Macaca mulatta: one gene and its partner. The protein of the gene in region 1 interacts with the protein of each later gene in a pairwise test. Links are inferred from orthologs where the notes say so. Each region holds a gene or a part of one and is shown on either strand. Other genes may lie near its edges.

Region 1 (4,685 bases):
CCCTGCCTGGGCTCTGGAGGCTGACTTCCCAGCTGCTAGCTTATCTTCTAGCTGTGTGCCCTTATGCAAGTTATTCTGCCTCTCTCTGCCTCAACTTCCCCATCTGTAAGAGCAACCTCCTAGATCTGCATATTTGATTATTGAACGACCAGGACAGGTAAGAGTGTACACAGTGCAGTGCCTGGCACACAGTGAGGCCCTGTATGTAGCTCTTGTTATTAGCGCTGCCCAAAGCCACATTCGCAGAAGACAGTCCAGCATCTAAAGTGCTTGCTTGAAGCATGGCCGGAAGGCAAGCAGATGGTGGGGTAGGCAGTGATGTCAATGAGCAAAAGCCTGCATCCATCCATCAGTACATTCACTCCTCCTCGAACAACTATGCGTGTTTGTCAAGTAAGGTCCTGACCGTTCAGCAGTGGGGGAGAGAGCTGGGGTGGTCAGTGGGCAGAGGCCGCTGAGGAATACGGGTACCTGGGCATGGACTCCAGCGCTGCAGTCCACAGACCCCGGGTCTCCGGCCAGGGGAAAATGAGCTCTTAGTGACGGGCCTTTCTCTGGCCTGGTATCAGGGGCCTGGGCCAGAGAGCCAGGGCTGTGTGCTGCCTTCCCATGGCTCTCATGCTGGGCACCAGTACGCATCATGCTTCAGCAAGGATCCTAGGGCATCTGCAGCCCATACCCTGGGTGACAGCTGGCCTGGATGCAGCACAGGTTGAGCTCTTGGGGCATACGCCTTCTTCCCACCTCGTCCCCACGCTGTATGCTTCCAGGGCCTGTGGCCGCCTGTACCTGATCGCCCGCCTTGGGTTCTCCACGGAGCCTGCCTCTGAGTTATTTCCCGTGAGCCCCCAGCACCTGCCTCCCATCTGCAGCGGGTTCCGCACTGTCCACCACCCATGACATTCGACTCCCCACGAGGCACTTCGCCTGGGCGTGCAGTACCTGTTTTGCTTCCACCCCATTCCCAGCAGCGGGTTCCGCACCTGGGATCACACGTGAGATTCCCCCCACCCCACAACCGCATGCCTGGGCTTTACGTCTGCAACTGCCGCCCCATCCCTGCATCCCGCTCCGCACTTCCCGCGCATAAGGTTTGGCCAGGCCCTCCCAGTTGAAGCACCTGTTGTCCAAGACAGAGCCGCTGTGTCTCCGGTGCTCTGGGTGCAGGCCCGAGTAGGGATGGGAGGAGGTGCTCTTATTCCACTCCCTGTCCGGGACAGGGGCGGCTTTTCCTAGGGCACTCTTGCCTCAGTAGAGAGGGCCCGGCTACACCCACGTGCGGGAAGTGCGGGGCGGGATGCAGGGGTGGGGAGGCAGGGAGGAGGGCCCAGTGCGCGGTTGGGAGGTTGGGAGGGAGGGGAAGCTCAGCTCACGTGGAGTTGCTGTGCCGGCTCCAGGGAAAGCCCCCGAGCCTCCCGGTTCCGACGGTGTGCAGCCACTGAGAATTCATTAGCTTCGTGGATCCCTGATCTTTTCCCTTTTCTAACCTTTGCTCAGCCGCATTCTCACAAACTGCAAGCACGCGCCCCGCTGGGTAGCAGCAACCCGAGAACGCCCCCTCCCCCCGCCCCCGCAAGACGCCGGTACCTGCTTGAGAGGGTGAGGGTCCCGGGACCCCTGCGAGGAGGAGGGTCGCTGGGTTCCAGGATGCCAAGCAGGAAAGATCACCTCGTTGCTTCTTCCACCAGCCTCTCCGCAGAACATAGCTAAAGTTGAACTTAGCATTCCAAGGGTCTGGAAACATCTTCGTGGGACCCATCGAGAGGTTGCTTAAAGACTGGCACCCGCTCACGTGGCCAGGTGGGAAAAGGGCGGGCCAGAAGTGAAAGTCCGGCCGGGGCGCCACACCTAGGCCGTGGATTCCGAGAGGCTGCAGGCTGGCGGCCCGGGAGGCGCGGCAGGGGCGGAGTCGCCGGGGGCAGGCTTCGCGCACTTCCCGGGCCGGGTCAGCCTGGATGGACGAACCCGAGCCATGGCCGGCGCCGTGGCGGAGTCGGGGCGGGAGCTGCCGGCCTTCGCGGGGTCCCGGGACACGAGCGCACCGCGGCTAGCCTACGGCTACGGCTACGGCCCAGGCAGCCTGCGCGAGCTGCGGGCGCGCGAGTTCGGCCGCCTGGCAGGTGAGGCGGGAGGGAGGGCAGGCGTGGGGACACGAGGTTTCTGAAACCGACGTGGACGGCTCTTTTGCTGCTAGTGAGAGCGGCGCTACCTAATTTGTCAAGTAAGGTCCTGGCCATTCAGCAGTGAGGGAGGGAGCTGGGGTGGTCAGTGCGCAGAGGCCACTGGGGCATTTTGAATAAATTGGGGCGCATTTTGAATCAAAACTCCAGGAGCGACGTGTCCACGCGTCCGCTTCGTAGATATGGCTCCCTGAGGTCCCACCTGCAGCCCCAAGGCTTCTTGCTACTCTTACTCTTCAGACTTTCCAGTGGGCAGGACTGACCCAGCCCTCTTCCCCTTTTCCCGCCCTCCGCGAGAGGGCTTAGGATGGTCCTTGCCCTCTCTTGTGGGAGACCCCTCACTCTAAAGGGCCTGCTGGGGCCGGGGTTGCAAAAGACAGCATGTCCAGCGGCCGTGACCCTTCGGATGTCCGCCCGGGGTAGGAGCGGTGCGTGGGCCGCCAGCGCCCGGGCTGGGACAGCACCCCTGCCGGCGCGCCAGGTTGGCACCCAGAGGCCAAGGCCTTCTGGTAGGGGCCTCCCAAGGCTGCACTCTGCAGACTCCTCTGGGTTAGCCCGTATTCAGCTTTCATTTTCGAAACCTCATTTTCCTCACTCTTGCAGCGTCAGAACAATCCCTCTGAGCTCCAGTTGGCTGGAGGACTAGAAGAATTAGCAAACAGTGCGATTTCACCTTTAAGAACAGGGAGCGCCTGTGAATTAGATAAGAAGACCAAGATCACATCCTGCCTTTCCTCAGAGCGGAACAGGCTGATGAAATTGCAAATCAAGCTCCATCTGGCCTTGGCCCACCCGGCCCTCAGCTGCCCGGGCCCAAGTTAGTGACTCATCCCTGTGACAGGGACTTTGGGTGCAGGGCTTCATCAAGCCCCAGAGCCGCCTACTGGACGGTCAGGGAGGGTCTGCAGGTGAAGTGGGCACCTCGTGGCACAGGGCACCGGGGTTTGAGTGCATCTGCTCTGTCGCAATGAACAACTGGTAACTACTCCCCTTTTCCGGGCAGAACAGCAACCATGACTTAGGTTTCACTACTTGGGTAGCTGATTTCAGCGCTCCGGGTCACTTCCTAGTGCTGTGGAGGGTAACTGTGTTTTCCCTTTGGGGACTGTGAGAACTGTGGCCTCCTCCTGTGTGTCTCCTCTGGCTTCCTAAGTAGGGAGAGTCAGGAGGGAGACAGGGGTGCCTTCTGCCAGCCTCTGTCTATTCACTCCTCATCCTTCCCTGTCCCAGGGTCACCTGCTGGAGACAGCTCCTCACCCTTCTTTTGTATTCTGTCTCTCTCATCTGTTAATTATGGAAATTTCCTACCACTCAGAAATAGACAGAGACTATGAATGCCCACAGGTGCTGGGGAGGGAGGCTCTCCATTCTTTGAAGCAGCTCTTAAAGGCTACCTGAGTAATTATGTCAGCACCACACCTCCTTAATCCCCTAAATCTCCTCCAGCTGTGATCTCTCACGCCTACTATTGGCCAACCTCTCCCCTCAATGCTACCCTGGGAAAGTAGAGCTATATTCTTGTCCCCTCCTGGTTTCACTCCTGTTCCTCAAAGAACAGTACATTCCCCCTCAAATGCAAAATTGGGATGTGTCAGCCAGACTGGCCCTCAGAACTCCTTTACCGCTTACTGTATTTCTGGTAGTGTTGTGGGCATCTTTTATTTAATGCAAGTTCCCCGTGTTTCCTCTACATTATGGTTAAAGTGGACATTTGTGCACTAACCTGATGCCCCTCCCACTGCTGGGAGTCTTGGAACATGTCCACTTGTTTTTCTCCTAGAAACAAGCCAGAGAGAGGGCAGGAAAAACCAACCAAAATAATATAATCTCTTCCTCGCTCGCTCCTCTCCCCTCATGAAGTTTTTCTGCCAGTTTGAGAATTCTCTGGTTAAGTAGTAGCTCAGAATAATTAAATGCTTAAGCTTTAAGGGCTGAAATGTGTTACCTAGTGATTTGGATGGGAACTTCCTTGCCTTTGTGAAGGGAGCATATTGAATACACAGATGTGTGTCAAGGGTCTCTGGAAGCCTTCGTGCTGAATGATGACTACTCATCATGCTGGAATGAGAACTGGACAAGGATGACCTAGAGCTGACTCTGGAATTCTCTTTCCTGAAGAAGATCTGATGCCATTTAACTTTGGTGTCATTCACCTGTTTCTAATAGCAGCTACACCTGTGTCCCGAGCATTGGACTAGGTACTGCCATATACCAGCTCATTTAACCTTTGTCCCATCTGCAGATGAAGGAACAGGGGCCCAGAGTGGCTAGTGGTGGAGCCAGAATTCAAGTCTGGGTTGATTGACTTGGATTAATCCCTATGCTGCCTGACTTTCTCCTAACATCACATGTATGACTGATCTAACACAACTTTCGCACCCTTTTGTTTTTCCTGCAAAATTAACCGTTGGACCAAAAGCCAAAGCAGCTTTTTCTCCAATAGCTACTTGGGCCTGCAGAAGACTGTGGCACAGTGTGAGACGCTCCCCAGCAGCTTCCAGGTCT
Region 2 (4,178 bases), on another chromosome or scaffold:
GGCTCTTCTTACATGGTGGTGGCAAGAGAAAATGAGGAAGAAGCAAAAGAGGAAACCCTGATAAACCCATCAGATCTCATGAGAATTATTCATTATCACAAGAATAGCATGGGAAAGACCAGTTTCAATTAGTCTTTTCATGATTCAATTACTTCCCCCTACGTCCCTCACAACACGTGGGAATTCTGGGAGATACAGTTCAGGTTGAGATTTGGGTAGGGACACAGCCAAACCGTATCAGTCACACAGCAAAAAAATCACTCAATCACTCGGTGCAATTTGAACCTCAATGATCTGTCTTTAAAGCTTGTGCTCTTGATACTATGCTGCTTCTCTGCTATGAGTGTGGTTCCAGTTCCTGCACTCTTTGAGAAAACCTACCCTGGGTCAATGGCACGTGCATCTTGGTGGGTACTACAGGATGGACAGGAGAGAAACAAAGCTGACCTGCCCACAGCAACCTAGGCAGTAAAATTCTACATTGAGGGGTTGTCTGAGCTCACTCATAAGAATCCTAAGACTTTCTGGTTGGAAATCTTCAGCCCCCTGAGTCCGATATTCTTTAACTACAAGCAATAATATGATTTTATTTAAGGCAAAAAGTAATCCTTTGGGCATCACTGTGCCAGATTTTGCATTACACCACTATGTCCGTGTAACGGGGAAAAAATGGGTGGTAATGTGGTAAAGTCTCAATAATTGGAGGCCGTGCAGAATAAAATGTCAATGGAAGGAGGCTTTTTGAGTTCCTCAACCAAGGGCAGGTGGGTGGCAGGCAGCATGGGGTGGGCTTCCAGCAATGATGGAGTGTCCCTTCAGAGGATTGGCCTCTTGTAAGGGACAAGAAAAGAGTCACACTATTTTCTTTCTCTTTTTTCTCCAGGGCTCTTTCCGGGAGGCATGGTAAGTCGCATAAGAATGTCCCCTGGCACTGGTGGCTGCACTGGGGCTTTAGTTAATTCTGCAGCAGCTGGGAAGAACAGGCCCTCAGCTTGCCACCTGGATATATGTCTGCACCAGCCTGGCTGACATGGCCAGTTGGGTTGGGAGGGACAGCTTACTGGTGGGAAGAAGACTACCTACACCTGCGCAGTCATCTTGAAATTTATCAGGCCATTGACCTTGCCATTTATGAAGCACTTTTGCAGCTATTGTTGTTCACAGTAAACATATGAAGCCACGATTATACCCCCTGAGACCCCACAGCCCAAGGGTGAGGGAGGAGATTATGATCTTGGTTTATCCAGCACTTAACTCCAAGTTGTTTATTCTTTCCAGTACACTACTTGCAAGTGCTTATTTAGTGAATGATAGGTGTGCAGATGGATAAACCAATATAATAATCATAAAGAGAACCAAAAGTGTCCTCCGAAAAAAAATGTTTTGAGCATTTACTATGTCCTAGGAAGTATGCTAAAGTATTTCTAGATATTAAGTCATCTAATGCTTATAACATCCCACTGAAATATTTACTGTAATTATCCTCATTTTAGAGATGAGAGACCTGGAGCCCAGAAAGATTCATTAGCTTGCCCGAGGCTTCTGGATGGGTCCTGGGCATTTTCAGGGCAGGTTTGCACTAATTATCTCATGCAAATAAAGGAAGACATGCACGAACACAGGGACTGTCCCCTCTCACCACTCTGTCCTTCTAGAGACTGTCTTCTCTTCCTTCCCTCATCGCAGCTCCTAACATAGAGGCTGCAGCAAGGAGAATCCCTGCAGGGAACATGGCTTTGCTATTTTCTATGATCCTGATATTTACTGTGGGTAATATTTTGAAATATTTCAACCATGCTAAAAATTATTCCCTTCAGGAGACCATGTCGGAGTTTACAGAGCACGCGCATGCTTGTTCTCACCCTTCATCCTCATGACAAACCTAAGGGAGGGTTATTTTTAAAATAACATTCTATAGAAGAGGAAACTAAGGCACAAAGAGTTGAAGTGGCCTAGATCACTTAAGAGGAAGAGCTCATACCCCATCCTGGAGCTCCCTGGCTCCCAGCCCTCTTCTCTGTGCCCTCTGCCAGCTTGTTTGTCATGGGTCTCCTGTTTTTGAAAATTGGGGGGTGAAATGATTTAATATTTGGATAACATTCCCCCTCTACTGAGGTTCAGAAACACCTGAACAATAGCTAAATCAGGATATAATGGAATACAGTGAAGGGAAATGACTAATCCGGGGTCACACTGCCTAAGAGAACCCTGAGTCTGCCCCAACCCAATAATGTACATGTGCATGGACACAGACACAGGCTCCCAGGGTGAGAATCCCCCCAAATCTTAGTCCCAAATCACATTCCAGAGTTCCCAGCAGTCTGTACCCCAGAGGCTTCCCATCAGTCATTGACCTTGTGACCTTGAGAGGCCTGTGGCTCTGGGGCCCGAGGTGGGCTTCCCTGCCAGGAACCGGCTCTTGGGCTCCATGTTGTGTTTCCCTGTTTTTCAGAACGTGATGCCTTTGACACCTTGTTCGACCACGCCCCAGACAAGCTGAATGTGGTGAAAAAGGTGGGAAAGGGGTGTCTAGGACAGAGAGAGGGAAGCGAGGTGCAGCAGGACATTGGGAAAACCCATCCCTGCAGCTCGGGAGCTTCCTGCTGGAACTGATGGCATCACCTAATCTCTGCACACACACGGCTTTCCCCCTTGTCATCCATGTACCTGTCCGTTCCTTACTGAATGTTGCACCCGGGCTTTTTCCTCTCCATCAGCATGAGCAGCCTGTCTTCCCACCCAGGCTAACCCCAGCAATCCCAGTCTTCCCCGCTCCTCACAGAATTCCCTGTCTCCCTGGCCTAGGCACGTGTGCTGAAGAAAGGACAGGATGGAGAGAGCCAGTGGAATCTTTTTATCTCAGTTCCCCACTCAGACACTCCACCTGTCATTCTGCCTCTTGGGACCTCCTTGTTCCTTACACACCCTGAGTTGTATGGGACTGCAAGACCTAGAGCCTGTGGCCCTCCCTGTGCACTCAAGGGCCTTTGCAGAGAGACCTTCTGGGCCCGGGGCTCTTGGCTGGGCCTGATCCCGTGCTTTCACCCTCACCCTCGCCCTCGCCCTCACCCTCACCCTCATGGGAGTCATGGGGCAGCCGCGGGCTCCTGTACTAGTGCAAATCCCCAGCTCTGGGCCTGCTTTGCTTCTCTTTTAGACACTCATCACTTTCGTGAACAAGCACCTGAATAAACTGAACCTGGAGGTCACAGAACTGGAAACCCAGGTGGGTGACAGACCCTAGCACAGGTGGAGGCAGGGCCCTGCCCTACAGCCCCTGTTCCAAGTGGTCCACCACACATGGCCAGGAGGGCTTTCCCAGCTGAGGGGAATGAGGGCATGGGGATCTGTCCTACTCTGAGGGGTGGACTGAATCTCTGCGGATTTTTTTCCAAATTTTTATGGTGAAAAGTTACAAGAATGAATACTCATATACCCTTCACCTGGATGCACCGATTATTAGTATCTGGCCACACCTTTCTCTGCACCCCTAAATGCTTGAGCATACGTCTCTCAAGAACAAGCACATTCTCTTAGATAGCCACAATACGGTTATCAAAGACAGGCCATTTTAACATAATACATTAATCTATTTAGATTGAATCTTATGAAATTGCTGACATTCGACTTTTTTTTGTTTTTTGTTTTGTTTTGTTTTGTTTTTTGAGATAGAGTTTTACTCTTGTTGCCTAGGCTAGAGTGCAGTGGCAAGATCTTGGCTCACTGCAACCTCTGCCTCCCAGGTTCAAGCGATTCTCCTGCCTCAGCCTCCCAAGTAGCTGGGATTACAGGCATGTGCCACCATGCCCGGCTAATTTTTTGTATTCAGTAGAGACGAGATTTCACCGTGTTGGTCAGGCTGGTCTTGAACTCCTGACCTCAGGTGATCCACCCACCTTGGCCTCCCCAAGTGCCGGGATTATCGGCATGAGCCATCACGCCCAGCCGACTGTTTTTAACCTACTAAAATGGCAACGTCATGTGGTTGGAAAAAACACTTCAGATTTTGCCGCTTGTCCAGTTTGCTCACATGCTGCATTTACTTGTCATGTCTCTTTAGTGTCTTTTTAACATAGAACAACTCCTTGGCCTTTCTTGGCGTGGCATTGACACTTTTTGAAGCGTTCAGGCCAGCTGGTTTATAGACTGTCTTTTCCCTGCGTATTAGATTCAGGTCA

What was found.
Region 2: the proteins of MOCOS (region 1) and PARVA interact in binary tests that used the Homo sapiens proteins (3 or more experiments, as listed by UniProt). The two-hybrid records come from large-scale screens. The link is inferred for Macaca mulatta from reciprocal best matches to the Homo sapiens genes MOCOS and PARVA.

Annotation. Positions count from the first base shown.
Region 1 is NC_133423.1:56,323,833-56,328,517, reverse strand, and holds the start of MOCOS (molybdenum cofactor sulfurase), read left to right. Parts: upstream 1-1,329; 5' UTR 1,330-1,972; coding exon 1,973-2,120; intron 2,121-4,685. UniProt on the Homo sapiens protein: Sulfurates the molybdenum cofactor. Sulfation of molybdenum is essential for xanthine dehydrogenase (XDH) and aldehyde oxidase (ADO) enzymes in which molybdenum cofactor is liganded by 1 oxygen and 1 sulfur atom in active form.
Region 2 is NC_133419.1:52,943,587-52,947,764, reverse strand, and holds part of PARVA (alpha-parvin), read left to right. Parts: intron 1-883; coding exon 884-903; intron 904-2,452; coding exon 2,453-2,514; intron 2,515-3,157; coding exon 3,158-3,226; intron 3,227-4,178. UniProt on the Homo sapiens protein: Plays a role in sarcomere organization and in smooth muscle cell contraction. Required for normal development of the embryonic cardiovascular system, and for normal septation of the heart outflow tract.